Caenorhabditis elegans: one gene and its partners. The protein of the gene in region 2 interacts with the protein of the main gene of each other region in a pairwise test. Each region holds a gene or a part of one and is shown on either strand. Other genes may lie near its edges. The genes, in order: C26C6.8, dylt-1, D1054.5 and zip-1.

Evidence for each region.
Region 1: the proteins of dylt-1 (region 2) and C26C6.8 interact in a two-hybrid assay, tested with the Caenorhabditis elegans proteins (one large-scale study listed by BioGRID).
Region 3: the proteins of dylt-1 (region 2) and D1054.5 interact in a two-hybrid assay, tested with the Caenorhabditis elegans proteins (one large-scale study listed by BioGRID).
Region 4: the proteins of dylt-1 (region 2) and zip-1 interact in a two-hybrid assay, tested with the Caenorhabditis elegans proteins (one large-scale study listed by BioGRID).

The regions. Positions count from the first base shown.
Region 1 is NC_003279.8:7,502,354-7,507,883, forward strand, and holds C26C6.8 (SH3 domain-containing protein), read right to left. Parts: upstream 3,290-5,530; 5' UTR 3,228-3,289; coding exon 3,185-3,227; intron 3,112-3,184; coding exon 3,020-3,111; intron 2,966-3,019; coding exon 2,813-2,965; intron 2,445-2,812; coding exon 2,331-2,444; intron 2,283-2,330; coding exon 2,062-2,282; intron 1,413-2,061; coding exon 1,223-1,412; 3' UTR 1,170-1,222; downstream 1-1,169. Other genes in the region: pbrm-1 (Bromo domain-containing protein), read left to right, coding at 1-205, 252-538, 591-714, 761-880; C26C6.6 (LIM zinc-binding domain-containing protein), read left to right, coding at 3,619-3,684, 3,730-3,795, 3,856-3,955, 4,115-4,293.
Region 2 is NC_003279.8:7,299,041-7,303,593, forward strand, and holds dylt-1 (DYnein Light chain (Tctex type)), read right to left. Parts: upstream 1,874-4,553; 5' UTR 1,855-1,873; coding exon 1,813-1,854; intron 1,711-1,812; coding exon 1,503-1,710; intron 1,383-1,502; coding exon 1,312-1,382; 3' UTR 1,025-1,311; downstream 1-1,024. Other genes in the region: BAH-4 (Glycosyltransferase family 92 protein F13G3.3), read right to left, coding at 548-772, 834-922; Inositol monophosphatase ttx-7, read right to left, coding at 2,125-2,386, 2,867-2,987, 3,032-3,186, 3,295-3,399, 3,513-3,649, 3,852-3,929; F13G3.6 (Glycosyltransferase 2-like domain-containing protein), read right to left, coding at 4,305-4,422, 4,472-4,553.
Region 3 is NC_003283.11:10,771,907-10,779,125, forward strand, and holds D1054.5 (CBS domain-containing protein), read right to left. Parts: upstream 4,673-7,219; coding exon 4,506-4,672; intron 3,857-4,505; coding exon 3,702-3,856; intron 3,589-3,701; coding exon 3,422-3,588; intron 1,690-3,421; coding exon 1,300-1,689; intron 1,256-1,299; coding exon 947-1,255; 3' UTR 870-946; downstream 1-869. Other genes in the region: D1054.3 (SGS domain-containing protein), read left to right, coding at 437-714, 764-869.
Region 4 is NC_003281.10:12,334,855-12,340,847, reverse strand, and holds the start of zip-1 (BZIP domain-containing protein), read right to left. Parts: upstream 3,942-5,993; 5' UTR 3,925-3,941; coding exon 3,643-3,924; intron 3,597-3,642; coding exon 3,497-3,596; intron 3,183-3,496; exon of another isoform or gene 3,056-3,182; intron 1-3,055.

The DNA of each region.
Region 1 (5,530 bases), 200 kb from region 2:
ACCAACTGCACCATCAAATGGTGGAATTCCCCCTCAACAACAACATCAACAACAGCAGCATCATGGAAATGGAATGAACGGAAATATGCAACAAGGCGCTCCACAAGTTATAAACAGGCATCCTGTTAGCCAACAAATGCATCATCAGCATCCACAGCATATGCAGCAACATCACGATCATCATCCACATCAGCAGCATTATCAGGTTTGTAACGCAATGAAAACATTTTTAATAAATGTAATTTTTTCAGCAAGGTGGCCAACCTCATCCACAGATGCAAATGGGACCACCACAAAACGGAATGTTCCAACAAGGATCTTCTTCATCTCAACAATATCATCAGGCACCACCTCAACAAATGATTCAACAACAACATCAACAACCTGGTCCACCTCCACAACAGCAACAACCACAAATGCAACCTATCGTGGTTACAGATGTTGGACGAACTGTAGTTCGAGCAGTTGTACCTGCATTTGTTGCACCACCGAATCAAATTCATTCGAGAAGAGTTCTACATTCGGAAGCATATCTCAAGTGAGTTTTTTGAAATTTAATTGTTTTTCAAGTATTGATTTTTCATTTACAGGTATATCGAATCACTTGCCCAGAATCGACAGAAGTCGGTAAGCCGATGGGAACGAACTCTAGGAGCAACTGCCAGGAATACCCAACCAGCTGGAAATGCCCGCGCTCCATCTCATTGGATAAGGGTTAGTTCGACTATTTCTTCTTGTAAAATATATTTCATAATTTCAGAGAATTGAAAACGGACGACCTGTAGCTCGCGAAGAGGATGTTACAAAAGCTTTGTGGAAACTTCGCGATGAATTGTTGAAGAGTACGTGTAGTCTTGTAATGGACCGACCAACTCAATGAAATCAGTGGATCTCTTGTTAAAATTTTATGCAATTTTTATAACTTTATCATAATTATCCTACCCTATCTCGCCTCCCCGTTCAATCCAGAAAACAAGAATCTCTTTTTCTTTTAATGTATTTTCTGATAACCAGTTATGTGTGCTCCTTCTGTTTTTATCCTCTCATGATTCCCACGAATACCTTAAATCCTATTTATTTTCAATAATTTATTCGTTTCTTGATTGTATTTCTTACTACCCACTTCAGTCACTAAATTTATTATCATTTCCAATTCACCTTTTTTTAAAATATTTTTATTAATGGGTCGGGTATGAAACAAATTCAAACGATAAATCAAACATCAAAGATCTGTCGCCAAAATTACAACTTTATTCGGGATAAATCCCTGCTTCTCGTCAGCGATTCGGACGGCCCACAACCAATCATCTACTGGTCTTCCAGTGCATTTTATCCATTCACCTGGTCGGACTGTTAGATCAAGAGGTGATCTTCCAGAAAAAGGTTCGACTACGAGAAGATTTTCATTTTCCCTAAAAATTAAATAAATTTGCCAAGCCAAAATATAATCAGTTTATTTCGCAATCTTTTGAAACGCAAGCACGAGAAAAACATTTATGGCAGTAGTTTTTTATCTTGCAACGGCCCTTTTGCTTTTTTCGGGAATTTCGTGAACAATTTTAAAGTCGATTCTTTTGATTTTTTATTACCCATACGCGAAACTTTGCAATTTTTGCGCCAAAAATATGGTACTCAATCTCGACACGACAATATTTTTTATCAAATGTAAACGGATGTGCGCCTTTAAAGGGTACTGTAGCTTCAAACTTTCGTTGTTGAGGAATTTGCATAGATTTTTCATAATTCTCCGTTAAAAAATGTATTTATTTATTTTAAAAAACCACAAAACACATATATTTTATTTTACTAATCGTGAGAAAAACTATGAGCACGAAAAGTTGTATTTACATTACAGTAGTCTTTAAAGGCGCACACGTTTTCACACTTAACAAAATTGTTATCGTGTCGAGACCGGGTACTGTATTTTTGGCGCAAAAATAACAAATTTTCGCGTCTTCTGAGTCTTTTAATTCTGAAAAAAAAAACAGAATAACACCCATGACCCATCTGAATAAGTCCGTACACCTTTAAGCGTTTCAGAAAACTGCGAACTTACGATACCATTTTTCTTTAATGACACGGCTAGCTTGTTGCAATATTTCATGTGGAATCTTAACATGGGAAGAAGGTACAAAACCAGATTGATTGTCCGAATTTCGAATATAGGTCCACTCAGGATCTGATATATTCAAAACTGTGACAGATTCTCCATCTTTCACAGATATATCATCTGGAGCTGATCCATCAAATGACTGTAGTATTTGAACTTCGCATATCTCATCCTGCAGATAGTATCAAAAGAATATTCAATAGCTTTATTCAAAACAAACCATTTTAAAAACCTCTCCTTCTTCTTTTTGAACAGGAAGACTGTCGATAAATCTCTGCAAATTTGATTTTTCCCAACGGCGATCAAGTGTCGCGCTGGATCCGATCACCTTTTTCTGAAAAGTATTTGATTTGATTTCTCAACGGTTCCATTCCCGAAATTCTTGGAGATCAAACCGAAATGGGACTCTCTGACATCACGTGGCTTCTAAGTTGTTCTCACTAAAGGTGACAATGATTTTCACCACTTTTCTTCGATTTTTCAATGACAAAACTATGAAATATCTATGAAATATTGGAAATAATTAGGAGTGTGGTTACAGTAATTCGCAAGGCGCACATTCTTTTGCGCATATTTCGGTCGTGTCGAGACCGGATACAGTAGTTTTAAATGAATATCATTAAATGCCACAATTACACGTGTTGTTGCATTCTTTAAGATTTGCACTAAAAATAACTTTTCTAGAACATCTAAAACGCTCACCTTTTCACCGTGTTTTGAATTCAAAAGCAATTTACAATATGTCTGTGGAACAAATCCTTTTCTTCCATCAGATACCTCAACATAAATCCATTGATCATCTCGATAAATTGCTTTAACTGTAGTGCCACGGGTTACACTAATTTCGTCAGCAACCTTAAAAGTGAGAGGTTAGAAATTGGGGTAATTTGGAAAAACTGAAAACTATACAGTTGCTGTGAAGTTTTTTGTTAGTTGTCCTGGAGTATAAGGATCAAAATGATCCACTTGCATACTGTCAACCCATCCACCATTATCGGGCACTGAAATTCATTTTTGGAGGTTTTATTTTTAATCAGCTAAAATTAGAAAAAAAATGGGACAAACTGTGCTCACCTCTTCCAGATACAACTTTCCAAAAAATGCTCCTAATGCCCATTGTTTTTGTGCGACGAAAAGCCAATGAATTGCTCACAAAACACGGTTAATCAACAGAGGCATGTCAAATTATTGTTTGTTCACCGAAAATTGGATCTGATTGGAAAAAAAGATGGAGTCTCGGGAGGGAAAGGCATGAAAGGCGGACAGTATTATTTGGCTTCAGTATAATGGCTTATTTTGCCCTAGAAATAAGGAATCTGTGATATTTTATGTATTTTGGAGATTACCATGCAGAGATGCATAAACTTTTGTATCTTGTTTGGAAGTTTTCAATTAAAAACCAATAAATTTTAATACCAGTTACGTGGCAACCGCTTACTAAATACAAATTCGGAGGCGAAGAATACAATTTTAATAAAAAATAATTTATTTCCAAATAAACTAGAAAAATGACTATTGAGTTTATCAATTGTGCAGGATGTAAAGCCAAAATCGCCGAGGAGGATGTCGAAAAGGTAAATCCACAATTGGTGTATTTCCTTTAAAAAAGTAATTTTTAGAACAAAGTTGTCTTCTTTCTGAATCGAATGTGGCATCGGGATCATATTCAATGCATTTTTTGTAAAGTTAGTTTTGGAAGCGTTCGGAAAAAAGCACTTCCAAAATTTCAAAATATCCAATTTTAGCTTCAAATCTCGGACAATCGTTATTTCCGTTCATCAATTGATCCAATGAAACCATCATGTTATGCATGTCATATTCAAACAAATCATCCATCTTGCACAGGTATTTTTAGTTCTTCGAAGTACTGATTAGTAGAAATTAAAAATTGAATGATATGGCTTGTGAATTCGGTTTTGCACGGGTTATACGAACTTTGATTACTCAGCTACATATAGGAAAGATTAGAGCCCCTTACGATTACTTAAAAAACAAATTTTACAGGATGCTCATTGCCAGTAATTGAACGAGGACTTGTTGCATTTAATCGTCTCTTTCATATTGATTGTTTCCGTTGTGCAATCTGTAACAAGACAATTCCTCAAAGAAAAGGATTTTATGAACGTGATATGATGTTTTATGATGACGTTTGTTATATGCTTCATATCAAAGATGTTCTATAACATATTGAACTTATTTGAAAAAATAATGAATAGATTTTGAACGGTTTAAAGTGTATTTTTGTGGGTTAACTATAATTTCTAAGATACTGATTTTTGAGAGATTTCAAGACAAATAGGGAGTAAAGTAGTCCCTTTCGGAACAATTTTTCTGTGATTTCTCTTGTTCACTGACAAAAACTGAACAATTTCAGTGTTTCATCTAATTAAAACATTTTTTTATCAGAAACATTGGACTTTTTTAAAATTTATAACACGATTTTTGAAATTTTACACATTTTGAAAAATGCAATTTCTGAATCCAGAGTTTTGTCAATTTTTCAATCAATTTATAGAACTTGCAAAAGTGAAACAATAATTATAATATTTGAAACATCACAATCATAATGAGCATCCTTCTGTTCTTTCATCATTTAACCTCCTCCATTCAAGTAGTAAAGTGTGCATCTAGTAACTTCACACCACAAAATGTTTCTGTGGGAGAAGAGCTACGGGATGGATGAGATGTGTCACCTGTGTCAGATCAAAATGACGTCATATAGATCTTAGTTTTCTTTTTCGAGTAACTACGTACTCGAAAATGTTTTGTGACTTTTTAAACATGTCAGTGTCAATCTTTTAATAATTTTTTTTTGTTTTTTGTTTCTGTCTGATTTTTTTTTGTGTAATAGTCTTGAAATCTTTTTGAAATCTAAAAGTCTTCTCAAGTCTCAATTCACTATTTCAATATTTGTCATTTTTACGTTTTTACAGAGAAACTAAACATTTAACTTTTGTTTCAGATGAAGTTTTGGCATATTTCCAATTTTCCTTGCAAAATTTTTTTTAAATATTGAACACTGTTGAGTGAGGAAATGTTAAACTACACAACATTGAAATTTTTAAACACAATTAACTAAATATTATTAAACCCAAAAACGTAGGAAATTTTGTTTTTTTTTCGGGCTACTTCCGCAATTATAATCGACTGTAAATAAAAAAGAATTCTAAAATTTTTTGCCATGCTTTGCTTCAAATAGGAGTGATTCCGAACATTCCACACTGGCGACACTCCACCTTTAATATATTTTGAGCATAAAGCTACACTTTAAAATACGATTTTTGTACTGAAGTTAACTATAGAAACCCAGAGGTCTTTGGTAGTCCTGCAGTTCAAATATTTTCCCAACCTAATCTGCACTTTTTAAATCAAACATAGTAGCTTATTATTCATGCACTATAAAAACCGAAAAGATAAAAT
Region 2 (4,553 bases):
CGCTCCGCCCACGTTTGATCCAATCAGCGACTTTGAGATCCGTCTGATTTGTCTTGTAGTTCTCATTTTGGAGGAGAATCAAACAAGGAAGTTGGTGAGTTGTATAAAAATCTCGGATATCTGACGGCCTTATAATTTTTCTTAAATCGACAGATGCATCTGCAGATGGTAGATGACCGAGATTCGCATATTTTCTCGGCCACTCTTCCATTTTCTCGATTTACCATCTACTTTGTATTGTTTTATGTATTTTTCAGAAATAGCCAGAATTGTTTCCAGGTTTGAAAAACATCTATTAGGTACATGGAACTTTTATGCAAAAATTTCAAAAAAAACCAAGGTATTAGATTATTCTGCCTTTAGTTTTGAACGGTTTAATCATAGGAAATAGTTGATTACCGATCCTGCAAAATTTCAGAATAAGCTCCGCCCCTTTCTTGGTTTTTTTTTTGAATTTTTTCATTGAATTTTCAAATCTTATTTAATTGGTGCCGAAAAGCTCAAAAACTTCGAATCAACACAAAAATAAGAAATTAAATACACAAACCTTTCCAATTCAGCAGATGTCATAGCTCGACTCGTGTCATTTATGCCCAAAAGTTCAAGATTTTTAACTTTTTCCAAAACTTCAAAATCAGCAGTCATCAGAATAACCATTGAAGAATCTCCGAGACTTTTTGATTTATTATAATAAAATGCAGAATAAATGAATATATCATAAGGTGCCGAATGAAATACTTCTTCATTTTCAAGATCTGGTGAATCGATTCGACTGGAAATTTATCGTTTCAATCATTTTTGAACGGTGATAATTTTTAACTATCAATACTTACATAAATTGAAGTAAGACTGCCGTTACAAAAAATAAAAACGAAAAAAGTAATACCACAGACAGAACCGATGGAATTATTCGTGGAAGCATTTTGGCTGATCTGACGCACTTGTTTTGTGTCCTAACGCGTCCCGCAAGTTATCTGAACATCTAATCTCGAACTACCTTCAATGAGTGCGACGGTCAAAATGAGGAGTAACAGTTTTCATTAATTTAGCAATAAAATAATAAGGCAAAAAATTTGAAAATCAAAGACAAAACAAATGAATTGAGTGGGGGAAATGATGGAAGATTTTGAATGTGAAGGAGCTGCTCGTCCGGATTTTTTCAGCTCAGTTTTTCTGGACAGGTAATAGGTCTGAATATAAAACATGATAGTGTGTGATGAATGGGGAAGAAAAAAACAATCAGAAATAAGGGGAGAATTGGCGGTAAACGAGGAAAACCAGAGTAGACATATAAGATGAAGCTGTGGATTGTTAAATTGCAATTGCAAAAACATAGACGATTGCAAGCATTGTTTTGGCTTCCCAACGGTACATGTACGAGGCTGAAAATGAGATTTTTTGAGCTATAAGTTGAATACCAACTTTCAAAATCAGAACTTTGTGAGTAATAAATTTATTTCCCTCTTTATTATTTAATGTTTTAATACAAAATGTTAACTCACAATCCGTGACTTTATTCCAGTAGGAAATCGTGCTAACATTGAGACCGGAACCGCTCGAGATCTGAAGGAACGACGAGGTAACCACATATTTGTATGGTTTTCCCGCTGCCACTAGCTTCTTCGTTATTTGTTCGACGGCCTTCTGATTCCACTGAACACTGTCCTTGTGGGTATACTGGGTGCTTGCGCCTACAACCTCGTCGAGTACCTGAAAGATTATTGGATTACGAGAATGTGAATAAACAATAATCAACTCAAAAATTATAGTTTTTCAAAGAATTAATACAGTAGACATATAAAATATCGGTACCTGCTTGATGATCATGTGAACGTCCTCCTCTGCCAAAGCCATGATGTTGAGCTTGTGAGAGCTGAATATTGAGTTTAATTATTAAAAAAGAGACAGTATAAATAAATCAAGTGCGCTCAAACGGCAATTGAAGTATCAGAAATTAAGATATAAACATCTTTAAATAATTTATTCTCATAAAACGAGAATACATACGACTAGAAAATAAAATCAAAAAACTAATATTAAATTGGAAATACAGATAATGCATGTTATGGTAGGAATGTTATGTCACAATATGTGAGTTTTGAAAATAAATAGTTAAATATATATTTAGGCTTCCGGCTCGAAATCGACATGAGTGAGGCATGCAGATAAATCGCGTCCGAGTTCAGCTGTTCCAGCGCAGAGAACTTTTCTTGACATGACGTCAAATGGGGATCCAGTTGGATCAGTGACAACACCTCCGGCTTCTGTGACAATGATAGAAGGAGCAGCAACATCCCAAGCGTGAATCCCGTATTCAACATATCCATCGCAACTTCCTTGTGCAACCATCACCATGTTGATCGCGGCGGAGCCAAACGAACGGTGTCTGAAAAAAAAACTTGGATTTTTTTCAAATAACTTTTATTATGTATAACAATATTAAAAATAATAATATCACATCATCCTCGTGATTTTTTTCATATTAAACTTTGTCCATCCAACATCTAACTTTTCCATCTTATCCATTTCTCAATTTTAGTAAAACTTTCAAAAAATTTGCAAACGCACAGTTCAAGAAAGTCACTAGATTTCGACAAGAATATAAAAAATATTTATAAGTACCCGTGACATTGTTTGTCGAACATAACAGTCTTGTAAGAATCAACAAATGATTTCTGCATAACAGGAGATCGAATTGAGCCAAGTTGAAGTATGAGCACACTTTCCGCAATGACTGGAATTTGCAACGTTTCTATGTGAATGTAAATAAAATTGAAAGTAAAACGTGCAAAACCAGCGCGGGAAGTGTGGAGGTATATTTTTTGTAAAAAAGTAATCAATTTTAGACCAAAAAATTAAAACAAACCCTCGCACACCAGCCATCACTTGATTTCGCATGTTTGACTGGGCAATGTCGAGCCAGCGATCGCCGAACTGAACACGATTATGCAGACCGAGAGATTGACAGAGAACTCCCTTTGAAAGCACTTCAAAAAGCAGGGTGCATGACAAGAAAAGTGCAATTACTTACATTGATTCTTTGATGCTCGGATTGGAAATCCATTTTTGAAAGCTCCCTTTCCGAGTTGAGCGAGATAAAGTTCATTAGTGATTGGATTGTATACGATTCCAGCACGAATTTGTTTTTTGATTGCAAGTCCAACGCAGATTGCGATCATAGGGATTCTATAATAACATAAGAATTTGTTTTTCGAGAAAAATTTGAGTCCAAATTAGAAATTAAATAACGCGATTTGCCATTATTTGAAGAGTCCGATTTAAAAAAAATCTTACCTATGAACAAAGTTAGTAGTTCCATCAATCGGATCAATAATCCATGTTGGTGCATCAGTCCATTCAATTTTCGCACCTCCGGCTACAGATTCCTCGCCAATGAATCTGAATCAAAATAGTAAATTTATGTAAATACTCGATTGAAAAAGAAAGTCCAACTGGTTGTCATGGAGACAATGAGTGAAATCGAGCGGACCGTGGGAATTCCTTGCTCTTACCTATGTCCTTTGAATCTCTCGGAGAGCCCTTCGATGAGAAGCTTTTCAACAGCTTGGTCAGTTTCAGTCACCAAATCAGTATTCGATGATTTTGTGTCAACCTTGCTTTCCGGGGAGTCAAACGCGGTACGGACGAGCTGAAAATGTTTTTTTCGAATATTGATGTTTTTTCAAATAATAAAATTTGTTTCGTAACTGAGGAATAGAGAATGTTGTTTTTCGAGTTACGCATTTGATTTAAATGTGCATATTTGTAAAATTAACAAAAATAAGACAAAGATAATAACGACGTTGTTGTTTTAGGAAACAGTTTGATTTTTTAATCCGAATTCAACTCACCGTTCCAGCTTTTTTAACCAACTCAATGGCGTAGTCGACGAAAACTTGCTCTTCCTCGTGGATTGGTTGGAACACCATCTAAAACTTAAAATCAATGAATAAAGAGCTGAAGGGAACCACTTTGCCGAAAAACAATAAAATAAATTAAAGAAGCTAAACGGAGAAGCCGTCTATTAGGAAAACTAACTCGCGCCAGAGTCGTTTTTCCAACGACGCGAGCAGACGGAGCGAGAAAATTAGAGATCACTCGGAGACACGAGACGCAGAGACACCTAGTAATCTCTTCCCATGTTCTGTTAGGAAAAATGATAACGACGAGGGAGAAAAATGACCAGACACAAAAATTTGCAACATCAAAGTACATTGGAGTCACTGAGAACCAATGAGACAACGCAAAATGCAAAATTTAAACGGATAAATTGTTTATTATATCAAGTATCGGATAGCAGTCTGTCAACCAAAGTAAACCAAGTCGACGTGCTCTTTCCAGCCTTTTCGTTCAATTATACGCTCCAAATCACCATTTGTCAAGTCCAATTTGACACAAACGACGAGCGGAGGCCTGGCATTTCTAAAACAAATAATACGTTTAGTAAGAAACTGAGAAAGTGAAGACATACTCAAGGTTAACAATTGGAACTTTGTGAGTCACACTGCGTGACACTTCATCAAACTCTTCATGAACACCTCTCCCGATTTTTG
Region 3 (7,219 bases), on a different chromosome or scaffold from region 2:
ATTGGAATTTGTTTAATTTTAGTGTAGTTTATTTTAACTCGATTGAAACAGTTATTCAAGAATAGTCTGAGAAATTGCGTCTAGTCAGAAAATGCTAGCTATTAATGCTATTAATGCTCTACATTCACCTGAACGAGTTATAGATTGTACCAAGTAAGGACATGTGGCTCAGTGGTAGAATATACCCTTACTACGCATACAGTTGTGGTTCGGTAACGACAGGATGATGAGTCACTCGCTGAGTGACAATAAGCCGAGTGTTAGCGGTTTTTATGTAATCGTGATGATCATTCCCTCAAAAGCGATAATTGTGAACTGACTGTCCGAAACCACAAAAAAAAATAAAAAATTGCGTTCCATAATAACTTGATTGGATTTAAAAACGTCCAGAGCAAAATTTTTGAATAAAACAACTTTTATTTAAAACTTATTCCAGGTAGAAGTTCGACTTCCGAAATTCGCTCGCAATGAACGATGGGCTTCTCTGCTGAAAGACGGACAAGGTGTTGCCGCTTCTGTACAGAGTGTATCACCAAATCCAGAAAGTGCACCAACTACTACTGTGAAAAAGAATTGGGATGCTATCGAGAAACAAGCTGTAAAAGAAGAGGAAGATGAATCGCTGGAAGGTGATGCCGCTGTAAACAAAATGTTCCGTAAGATGTACAACGACGCTTCGGATGATGTCCGACGTGCCATGATGAAGAGCTATTCGTAAATCGTTATTGCCTGAAAACCAAGAGATTATAGTGATTATTTTCAGTGAATCAAATGGAACCGTCTTGTCTACAAATTGGTCTGAAATTGGTCAAAAGAAAACGGAATGTCAGCCACCAGCATGTATGGAATATAAGGAATATGAAAAGTGATGATTAAATTCTTATTTTGTTATATGAACACCGCCAAAAATGAAACTTCATGTCAAATGTTTTGTTTTAAAGTTTAATTAAAATCTCATATCCTCGATATCCCCTTCAGATTCGTTGGTCCCCTGACGCTTGATAACTGCTTTGTCTCTGGAGGTGTATAATTTTTCATAACCATTATGTGGTTCCGGATCTGTTGGATCTGTGGATTGTGAGCTCGTATCTGATTCAAATGGAAGAAAAGCTTGTGATAGTGATGGACGTTTCTTATTTGTCATTTCCAATCTGATGGTATTCATTGTCTCGGTCTTGGCGACCTTTCCAGCTATTTGTTCGATCCATTTCTCCGTTTCGTTTTTCTGCTGGCTCCACTGTTGTTTTACTTGATCCTGAAACGTTATATTACTCAATTGAAGATAATAGCTCTGATCACCTGAATATAGGATTCAATGTCTTCTGCATGCCTCCTCATCTCTTCAAGAGACATATCTTTCAAATCCGGATCTTCAACAGAAACAGTTTGCACTTCAGTGTAATCTAGCTGAAAAGAGCATTCTGGATGGACAATCGTGTTGTGGCATCGCGTGAAGCTCAATGGTGCTGGTGGAGCACGATTTGGCGGTGGAGGTGGTGTACGATCATCGCCCAAACGAATCTCGACATTGCATTGTGCACTAGATGAACCCGGAAATTGATTCGATGACGGTGAGAACGATATCGTGTCATATTTATGACTTCCCTGTGGTCGGAGAGCAGATTCAGAACGATTACGACCATTTGCGGAGAGAATCGGAGGCGAAAAAAGTTGTTCCACACTTGTAGACTGTAAACAGGAAGGAATGTTATTTATTATTTTGTTGTGGACTTAAGTGTACTTTAAAAACATTACAATATTCGGTATGGAACGTAAATATTCTGTAAAATACAAAACTGTTCAAATTTACAATTCTTCTAATTTCGTACTAACAAATTTGATAATACATTTGAGAAGTGTCACGTCACACTGTAAAAAGGTTACTGTGGCTTGCGTCGATTTATGGTATTGCATCATCCTTTTCAACAAAAAACATGAAAGGTAGCATACAAATAATCTCATATGTAGTAATAGCTATACTTACTATTATCAGGTTGTCCCATAAGTTTTTGTACTTTTTTTCAAATATTTTTCCAAAACTTCTAGAAAGTTTTAAAATTTTTTCATCGTAGGTCGTGTCAAGGTCGGGTCGTCCCCTTTCAGAAAAGATTCATTTCATCCATTTCTACTTTGCCACGATGACAATCATCAAACTTGAACGTCGAGACGTTAGATTGCTTCTTCTTTATGAATTTCGTCTTGGTCATTCAGCAATGGAAGCGGAACGAAACATATGCGGTGCGATGGGTGAGGGAGCACTCTCTTATAATACAGCAAAGAGTTGGTTTCAAAAGTTCAAGAACGGCGACTTCAGTCTCGAAGAAATAGAACGTTCTGGGCGACCGGTAGAGTTAAATGAAGAAGACCTAGTGAAGCTGGTGGAGGAAGAGCCTCGTCTTAGTCTTCGTGAAATGGAAGAGAAGCTTGAGTGTTGTCATAGCACAATTGCACGTCACTTGGGTCGCCTTGGTTTTACTTCAAAACTTGGAACTTGGGTGCCTCATGAACTTTCGGCATCACAGAAGCTCACTCGGGTCAACGTTTGTACTCAACTTCTAACTTTTCGTCGAAAGTTCGATTGGCTGAACAATCTGGTTACTGGAGATGAGAAGTGGGTGCTCTATGTTAACCATTCCAGAAAACGTCAATGGCTTCCGATCGGTGAGAAAGGAATACCGACGCCAAAGCCCAAAAAAGATTATGATCTGTGTCTGGTGGGGTGTTCAAGGACCCGTGCACTGGGAATTGTTGCCAACTAATAAAACTATCACTGCTGATTACTATTGTGCCCAATTGGACCGAGTTGCAGAAAAGACCAACGGAAAATATGAAAAACTATATTTTCTTCACGATAATGCTAGGCCTCATGTCGCCAAGAAGACTTTCCAAAAGCTGCAAGATCTTGGTTGGACTGTTTTACCGCATCCACCATATTCTCCAGATCTTGCACCAACCGACTACCATTTGTTCTTGTCTCTCAGTGACTACATGCGCGACAAGCAATTCGACGACGAAGAGCATCTCAAAACTGAACTCTCCACTTTCTTCTCATCGCGTTCGCCGGATTTCTTCTCCCGTGGCATCATGATGTTACCTAGTAAATGGCAACAAGTGGTGGACACTAATGGTGAATACTTGTGTGAATAGTACTACTTGTCGCTTGAGAGAAATAAATTTTTTTCAAAAAAAAAATAGTACAAAAACTTATGGGACAACCTGATAGAAATACTACTTAAACCTTACCATTTAATCAATCAAAAACGTAAGATTTCTAAAATAAAAATAACCACATAAATCGACACTAGCTTCAGTAACTAGCTGTCCCCGTGGTGAGACCAATTCGCTTGAGATAGGGCGAAAAATCCCATTGCATACGTAATACAATATACATTGGAGATTTCAAAGTTAAACATGTACATACCCGATAGCTTGAGCCTTGTTCCCCATAACTGGTCATATTATTCTGTGAGGATTGCCACTGAAAACGTGGAATGTTCGATTGGTGTTTAGCTCCAAAGCCGGCTGGCAATGTTTTATATTGACTCGGTGAGACTCCAGTTGGTGATGACAATGGAAGGGGGGTACGTTCTGGAAATAAGTTGGTATCGTACCAGTCACTATGTTGTTTACAGTTTAATTTTTTTATTTTCGCTGAAACTAATGAGCTAATACTTTTAATACTATTAGTTTTACATAATTACCTCCAATTGATCGAATGCTATCTGGTGCCAGGTACGTCTGAGAATCAGTGGGCAAAACTGATGATGATGGAGGAGAAATGGAAGATAGAGATGGAGCGATATCAGTCGGAACAACTGCCAATTCAAGATCCCTTTTATCAAGGATTCCAATAATTCTGTAACACAAAATTATGAAATGAAACTTATATTTTTGAAATTTCAGGTTTGATTTGGGAATTTCTTTAAGTTGCTCCAGCTGACTAAAAAACAGAGAATACAAAAACCACAACGTTGGTCAAGTTCAAGGTAATTCAAATGAAAACTTCAGGAACACTATAATTTTGGAGGACTTTTTTTGAATTTCATAAGCTGTATTTATTAAATTGTTTTTAAATTTTCTATTTGGAATCTCAAGGAAAATTATTCAAAAAGAGTTTTCACCTATTCGATACAAATTTCTCAAAGGGTCCCACCCAATTGTTGACTTTTTTCTTTTTCATATTATGATTATCTGTAACAGTTCAAAACCAAATCCCTTCTGTTATTGAAAGCCTATTGTAATAACTTCTTTGGTATTTCACTTTTGTAGAACTTATCAAACGCTCCATGTATACCCAAATAAAATTTTATATCAATTTAAAATGACGTTGAGGCAATCGTATTTTATGTCTACGGCATTCACCAAATCAATAACAAAACACATTATATTAATAGTTTGATTACAGTAGCTACAGAAGAGATCAAAAGTTTGCAAAAAAGCGAACTACTAGTTACAATTTTCAAATAAACTTAAATCTGATTTTCTTACAAAAAATGTAAACTCACTTATCATCTTCCATAACAAGAATAAAGTCTGTGTCGGTTCGAACCAATTTATGTTTTGAAACAATCAAATTCGTAGGTCTCGATATCTCAACATTTTGCAGTGAATTAGTCCCAGAAGCTTTCTTTTTCACAAATTTCAGCATACTTCTGAACATAATGCTGATCATAATTGTTGCAGAAATCGAAAAGAGTGACTAATAAAAAACGTTTGTCAGTATCAATAGATTGAACGGTTTACTACTAAAATAACTTTTTAAAAGGGAAACGAAAACAAAAAAGCGGAACTGGTGATCAATTGTGAAGATATCAAACTGATAGTAATATTATCGAATAAGGAAGAATGATGCTCAAATAGTATTTGGTCAAATCAATCGATTCATGAATGTGCTGACACATCTGAATTTTCAGAGAACTATTAAATGATAACACTTTTTGAGTTGAGAGGACGCCAAGAAAAAGAGAAGGTTAGAGAATTGAGTTATCAGTGAAAACAGAAGGAATGTGCACCGACGGAATGCTGTACGTGAATAGTTAAATTAACAAAGTGATAACAACAACTTTGCTGTGTAAAACAATAAACAAAAGTAGACAATACGATAATTTGCCAACTTTCGGAAAACCCTTTGTCTTGGTTTAAGTATTAAAGAAAATATAGCTTTGAAAATGAATTATTAATGGTGGAGTAGTGACTGTGGGGATTCAGTCTAACTGAGTAAATATACTTATTATAGTTAAACAGGGCGTGTATAATAAAAAACATCCAAAAAATGTTAGGTTATTTAAAATGTTCAGTTAGTTTTTGGTAAATTGCCATGAAAAAAAAATTATAATATTTGGCCGACTTCCGAAATTATCATAGGTGAAGACTTAGTTTTCAACACCTTTTTGACTTAACTTCAAAAAAAAATTGTACAAGTTTTTATAAGTTTCATTCTGATATTTGGACATTCGAGAAGAAACTTTCTGAGTGACGATACTTAAAGACCTTTAAAAAATTTTTATATTGATTAAACTGTATTCTTTCGATACCTCTTCTAAAATTGACGACTACGGTGAAAGTATGTCCAGTTACATCATAGCTCTTTCTGAAATGCGTTTACTTTAATTCTAAAACGTTCAGAAAGTGTTAGGTGATAGATAAACATAATTAATTTTAATCCTGTGAAATGGAAAGGTCAAATGTATAATACAAACATTACCCATGTTTTCAGAAAAAGTGTTCGTTGATATTTAAATGTTTGAATTGATCATTATTCATTTCAAAAAATGAGCGCGAATTATTTGGGAGACTCCGTGAAGAGTGAAATTATCAAAACTGAGTGCGTTATCAGACATTAATATTTAGTTCCAATTATTGCGAAAACAAAAGTGTGAAAAGACAAAGTCACGAACAAAATTGTTTTCGCTGATTCTGCTATCTACTTAAAGACTCTTAAATCAATTTCAAAACTTGGATATTCAAAGATAAACGTTTCAAAATGCTAAGAAGTTGCAAAATTTTCAGTTAGATTTTTTACCTTTAAAACAACATGCATGAAAGTGTAAAATCAAGAATACAAAATAGTTATCTCTAAAATTCAAAAATTTCGAAACATTTATTTTCATGAGTCACTATGTGACTCATGAAAATTATATGGTTATATGGTTCATTTTTTTTAATTTGAAAACAATATGTCTTATGTTTCAAATGCTCATCACGTGCCTAGTCTAAATAACTAATTTGTCACAATACTTTTATTCGCTAGGCTTATCGTTTATTTTTAGAAAAACAACTTTATATAGAATTCCATAAGGTATCAAAAATATAATCAAACGAATGTATAATGACTCTTGAAACCTTACATGTTTCAACAATTTGTTTACTTATTTCTGCATGTTGTAAAACTGTTCAGAAAGTTCTGAACTTTCCAATTTAGGGAAACATTGTATGCATGGTTATTTTATACAACTGAGCCAATCCTTGAAAATAGTAATAATTCATTAAGTTCTTAAAACAAAAACTACTATTGTCTATTTACGAAACCTGTAAAATAAAGCAAACAAGTTATTATTGTGAGAATTTATTATGGAGCTTTTCCACATGCGTATCCAGTGAAATCAGTTCTGGTGCATCTGAAAAAGTATGGTTAATGAATGATTTATAGGATTATGATGCTTACATTTGATCAGCCAGTTTACCCGTCACTGAGACAACAACGGGGCAGTCTTCCCTGAAATTAAAAAAATCTAGTGAAGGCGTTTTGTGAATTCAGTTTTTCGGAAATTCGATTTTCTTCAATTCATCCCTGAATTAAACAACTCAGACGAGCTGATTGTTTCGAGGCAGCTCGTCCCTTGTTAGGGTCCGTTTTTTCTCTGAAGGAAGAAAACGGACAAAGGTGTCAAGCTGCGCTTTCCATCGTACCACCTTTAAGCTCTTTCCGTCAGAACTATTCTCTTGATTTTTCCACATGAAAAGATAATTTTGCTTGTTAACACATTAACTGTAGACGAAATCCACCGTTTCATTTAGATTTGAAGAGACTACACAAGTTCAGTGTCAACATGCATAATTTTTGATAGAAATCATATATTTCGTCTTTTGCCTTCTGTTTTGCATGTTACATTTTTACATTTGAGCCCAGTATCTGAGCCAGGCACGCTGAAACCCAGTCGATCCAAACTACTACGTACATCAATGATGCGTTGTTCGGTTCTCCGGTGAGCCTCCAAAC
Region 4 (5,993 bases), on a different chromosome or scaffold from region 2:
CGGATGAAACACGGTTTGATCTACGTTGATCTACAAAAAATGCGGCAGACTTTTCAACTGACGTCACATTTTCCTGGGCAAAAATTTCCCGCATTTTTTGTAGATCAAACTGTGATGGGACGACAGCCTGGCACCATGATGACTAACCAATTTCCGTTTTAATAACAGTCTCCCGTATCCGGAAAGGAACAAAAATGTAGACATTCATTTTTTCCGCTAATTATCAGCAATTTTTTAAGTTAAAAATGAACCAACGAATTAAGAATGAGCAAAAAAGAACACCACTTTATTAGTCTATAAAACCGCCAATTTCTCTTATCAATTTATATATATATATATATGTCCGCCTGTAGTATCCCAATACCACGCCTATTTTCGCCTATTTCGGCATCAATTAGCGACGGGTCAAAAAATCAGAAATGATTGATTTATTATGAGGAATAATGTGAAATTAGTTGGTTTAATTAGGAATGAAACCTGATTTATTACAATTAAAATTGCAAAAAAATATGAGGAAGAAAATATATTTTTTTCAATTTTCAACGGTAAAAACTGTAAATTCCAAAAATCGATCAGCAATTATTTCCTATTATTTAAATTCCTTTAAAATAATTGCCAATTCAACTATCATAAATTCGTAAATAAAACATTTTTTAATTCGCCACTCTACTTTAAAGGCGCACGGTGCTTTCTAAGTGGGTCTCGCCACGATCTCAGCACGGGCGGGCAAATTTTAAAGATTCGCTCATATGATGTATGATGTCATATGTAGAAAATTGTAATATTTATAATTCTAAGGTGCACAGGGTGGGGGAGAACGATTTTTTCCGGCAAATCGGCAATTTCGCCGGAATTGAAAATTTCGGGCAAATTGAGAAACCGGCAAATTGCAGGAATTGAAAATTTCGGGCAAATTGGGAAATCGATGGAATTGAAAATTTCCGAAAAATCGACAAATTACCGGAATTGAAAATTTCCGGCAAATCGGAAAATCGATGGAATTGAAAATTTCCGGCAAATCGGTAAATTGATGGAATTGAAAATTTCCGAAAAATCGGAAAATCGATGGAATTGAAAATTTCCGGCAAATCGGTAAATTGATGGAATTGAAAATTTCCGAAAAATCGACAAACTACCGGAATTGAAAATTTCCGGCAAATCGGAAAATCACAGGAATTGAAAATTTCGGGCAAATTGGGAAATCGAAAAATTGCCGGAATTGAAAATTTCCGGCAAATCGGAAAATCACAGGAATTGAAAATTTCGGGCAAATTGGGAAATCGAAAAATTGCCGGAATTGAAAATTTCCGGCAAATCGGCAAATTGATGGAATTGAAAATTTCCGGCAAATCGGCAAAATCGCAGTAATTGAAAATTTCCGGCAAATCGGCAAAATCACCGGAATTGAAAATTTCCGGCAAATTGGGAAATCGAAAAATTGCCGGAATTGAAAATTTCCGGCAAATCGGCAAATTGATGGAATTGAAAATTTCCGGCAAATCGGCAAAATCGCAGTAATTTAAAATATCCGGCAAATGGGCAAATCACCGGAATTGAGAATTTCCGGCAAAATGGAAAATTGCCGGAATTGAAAATGTCCGACAAATCGGAAAATTGCCGGAATTGGAAATTTCAGGCAAATCGGCAAAATCGCAGTAATTTAAAATATCCGGCAAATGGGCAAATCACCGGAATTGAGAATTTCCGGCAAAATGGAAAATTGCCGGAATTGAAAATGTCCGACAAATCGGAAAATTGCCGGAATTGGAAATTTCAGGCAAATCGGCAAAATTGCCGGAGTTGAAAATTTCCTGCAAATTGGGAAATCGGAAAATTGACGGAATTGAAAAATTTCGGAAATTTGGAAAATTGCCGAAATTGAAAATTTTCGGCAAATCGGAAAATCACCGGAATTGTGAATTTCGGGCTAATCGGCAATTTGCCGAGATTAAAAATTTCCGGAAAATCGGCAATTTGCAAGAATTTAAAATTTCCGGCAAATTGGTAAACCGGCAAATTGCCTAAATTTAAAATTTCTGGCAAATCGGAAAATTGCCGAAATTAAAAATTTCCGGGAAATCGGCAATTGCCGGAATTGAAAATTTCCGGCAAATTGGCAAATTGCCGATATTGAAAATTTTCGGCAAATCGGCAAATCACCGGAATTCACGATTTTCGGCAAATTGGCAAACCGGCAATTTGCCTATTGCCGCCCACGCCTGGCACGCATATACATATAAATCCTGGCTTTATATATGTGCACTTTCGAACTTTTAATATCCAAAAATGTTGCACATGCACAGAGATCGTGACGAGACCCACTCAGAAAAAACATCATGTGCCTTTAAAATGGAATAAATTTTTACGAATTTACTAGGAAAAAAATTACTGAAAACTGATTTTTCGGTGATGCTCTAAAGTATTAATGCTCTAAAGTTTTTCAATTTCAATTATTCCTAATGATAAATTATATAGCTGACCAGCTAATTGATCACATATGCTGCTTATCGTAATAAATGTCATTGATCAGGGAAAAAAATTTAAGTGTTAGCAATTCCGAAGGAAGTATGAATCATGTTTATGTTGCTGTTGCTAACATTTATTTCCGACAAGAGAAATATATGATTTTTCGAGATAATCATCCCTTATACTCCTCCTATCACCATTTTCGGGTGATTTTTATATCATACTTTTTAATACTATATTAATACTATAATATATTACTATATATATATATATATATATATATATATATATATATACTATAATATATGATATATGTATATATTAATACTATAGTATATAATACTATCATTTACTATATATAAAGCGCTTATTCCGTTTGTCCATAGTTTGTAGTCTATGTAGTCTTTGTAGTCTGCAGTTGGGGTACTGTAGTGGTACAATGGTGGCACGGTAGGAGTACTGTATGATTACGGTAGTTTCAGAAAAATTGGTTTTCAGCTCCAGAAGTCAGCTCCAGAAGCCACGGCTGGTATATATATATATATATATATATATATATATATATATATATATATATATATATATATATATATATATATATATATATATATATACAGTGCGAACAACTTCTATCGCGCTTCCAATTATTTTCGAGTTTCAGTACTTTCCAATTTTTTTTTCTCGAAAAACGGTGAATGCCATTTGATTTTAAATGTCAAAAAACCCCTTGTCGTAAATTTTTATCGAAAAATATCAAACACTGCGAGGACTATAGGTCAAAAAGTCTTAAAAACGACCGTGCAACTTCTATAGCGCATATTTTTTGACAAGGGGTTTTTTACGACAATTTACGACAAGGGGGTTTTTCGACATTTAAAATCGAATGGCATTTACCGTTTTTCGAAAAAAATTTTGGAAAGTACTGAAAATCGAAAAAAATAGGGGGCGCTATAGAAGTTGCACGCACTGTATATATATATATATTAATACTATACATCCGTTATATTTATACACCCGTTATTCAACTAACCATAATAACTCTTTATATCCCATTCAACTGCCTCATTCTCCGCGTTTATATAGTTGAGAGTTGGCTCAATTTGGGTCTCGACGCGAAGTTCGAACAATACCTAGAAACCGGTAAGCATTCATGGGCCTAACTCTTATTTAATATACCTTATCCGGATTCTTATCCACCGCCGTCATTTCAACATCCCCTTGATTATTCGGAAGAATCTCCATCGGAGCCAAATCCTCCTCGGCTGGTATGAATGAAAAAGGCTCCGTTCGTTGAAACTCAAGAGAAGCGTTCATCAGGTCATCCGGTATGACGACTCCCTGCGAATAATCGGTTATTGGATGAGGCGGCGCATTTTCAAGGCTAGTTACCAAAAAGTCCGCATCCATCATATCATCATCTTCCGAGAAATCGACGAAATTGTTATTTTGATTGTTCATTTTTGATAGTTTCTTTTCTGAAAAGTGTGCATTGAATTTTCAACTGGGAAATTTGCAGGAAAAAAACAACGGAACGAGTCATCGGATCGGACTTCAGAGAATGCTACAAAGGCTAAGCTATTACCGATCCAGAAAGAGTGTAGTCAGTTGAAGAGACACAGGCATCTGGGGACCCGGGAAAGAGTCAATTTGTGTCGATTTACGGAAGAGTAACACTTCAAAAAAATAAAGCTAAACCTAACTAAAACCTCCAATTTTGCGTTCCTATCTCGTGTTAACTGTTAGGCAAATTTTAGGCCTGTAGGCATTTAAAATTAGATGCCTAATGTACCTAGAGGCAACATTGAAGATTTCAGCTAAATTTGGCTAAAATTTGAACCGTCATAAATACATAAATACAGTGTGCACGTGGTGTCAGAGTGCCCCATATCGGTTTGATCTACGAGAATCGCGGAAATTTAGACGCAGAGTTCTGAACTGATTTTTGCGACCCCGGAAAAATGGGCAAAATTCGATATTTTAGCTAAAATCAGTGCAATTTTTTCAAAATTTTGAACCGCCATAAAAAATTTTTGAAAATTTTTTGAGAAGTTTCATTACGAAATTCGTTCATTTGAGTCCATTTTGGGTCTATACGTTCAAAATTGTTCGAACCGTTAGTCCTCCTTTAAGAGTAACGCTCCGTAAATCGACACAAATCGGCTCTTCCCCCGCGCACCGCCCTTTGGGTCCCGAGATGTCTGTGTCTCTTCAATTGACTACACACGCTCTCTCTCTCTGTCTGGATCGGTAATATAGTTCGTAACAAGAAAATCCCAGGCAATTTTTTGAACCAATCAAAAATGAAAAACTGTTCAAACAGGCCAAATTTAGCAGAAACCTTCAATTTCGCTACTAATTTTAGATGCCTACCTGCCTAAAACTTGTCTAAGTTAACACGTAGCTTAAGCCTCCAAATTGTGCACAAAAAAGTGGGAATTTGGAGATTTTACATCTATTTTTGCAAAATTTTAATAACTATATATAACTGTGCAATTCATTTGCTTAATTCCTGATTTTCCTTCCATTGCATGGCTATTTTGAAATACTCACGTTAAGTACTATTTATTAATTGAAATCAACTTTTTTCCAACAAATTAGACTTCCAAAAATAGTAAAAACTACAGAAATCGAAGGCAGAAATGAAGCGAATGGGGTCTTCCTCACTTTAAAATTTTAGGCGATGGGGTGGGAGAGGGCGCCAGAGTGAAGCAGAGAAGAGAGTGCTGATAACGAAGAGAGCGAGAGAGAAAGAAACACGAAATTTTCTGTTTACGCTGTCCGCATTTCCTCAGACAAGAAATAGTGTGGGAAATGGAGAGAGTGCTGTCTGTAGTCCTATGATGTGATCGGAAGGAAAGATCGACACAAAAAGTGATCGTAGTTTGGCCTTGTAGATCAGTTTGAAGAAAGTAAATTTGTTGAGACAAGTAGTGTATCTTCGAAGCTAACAAGATCTAATTTTAGCGAAAAGGGTCTCGACGCGACAATATTTGTTTTGAAACCAGTGTGCGCCTTTAAATGACCGAATCAGGGGTGGACGGTTCGCCAAATTTTTTTTCGGCAAATTCGGCAAATTGTCCGTTTTTGCCGGAAATTCAAATTCCAGCAATTTGTCGATTTGCCGGAAATTTCAAATCCGGCAATTTGTCGTCGATTTGCCGGAATTTCAATTCCGACAATTTGTCGATTTGCCGGAAACTTTAATTCCGGCAATTTGTCGATTTGCCGGAAGTTTCTATTCCGGCAATATGGCGACTTGCCGGAAATTCAAAATCCGACAATTTGCCGGTTTTTGCCGAAAGAAATTTCAAATCCGACAATTTGCCGATTTGTCGGAAATTTCAATTCCGGCTATTTGTCGATTTGCCGGAAATTTCAATTCCGGCAATTTGTCGATTTGCCGGAAATTTTCAATACCGACAATTTGTCGTCGATTTGCCGGAAATTCAAAATCCGACAATTTGCCGGAAATTTCAATTCCGGCAATTTGTCGATTTGCCGGAAATTTCAAATCCGACAATATGTCG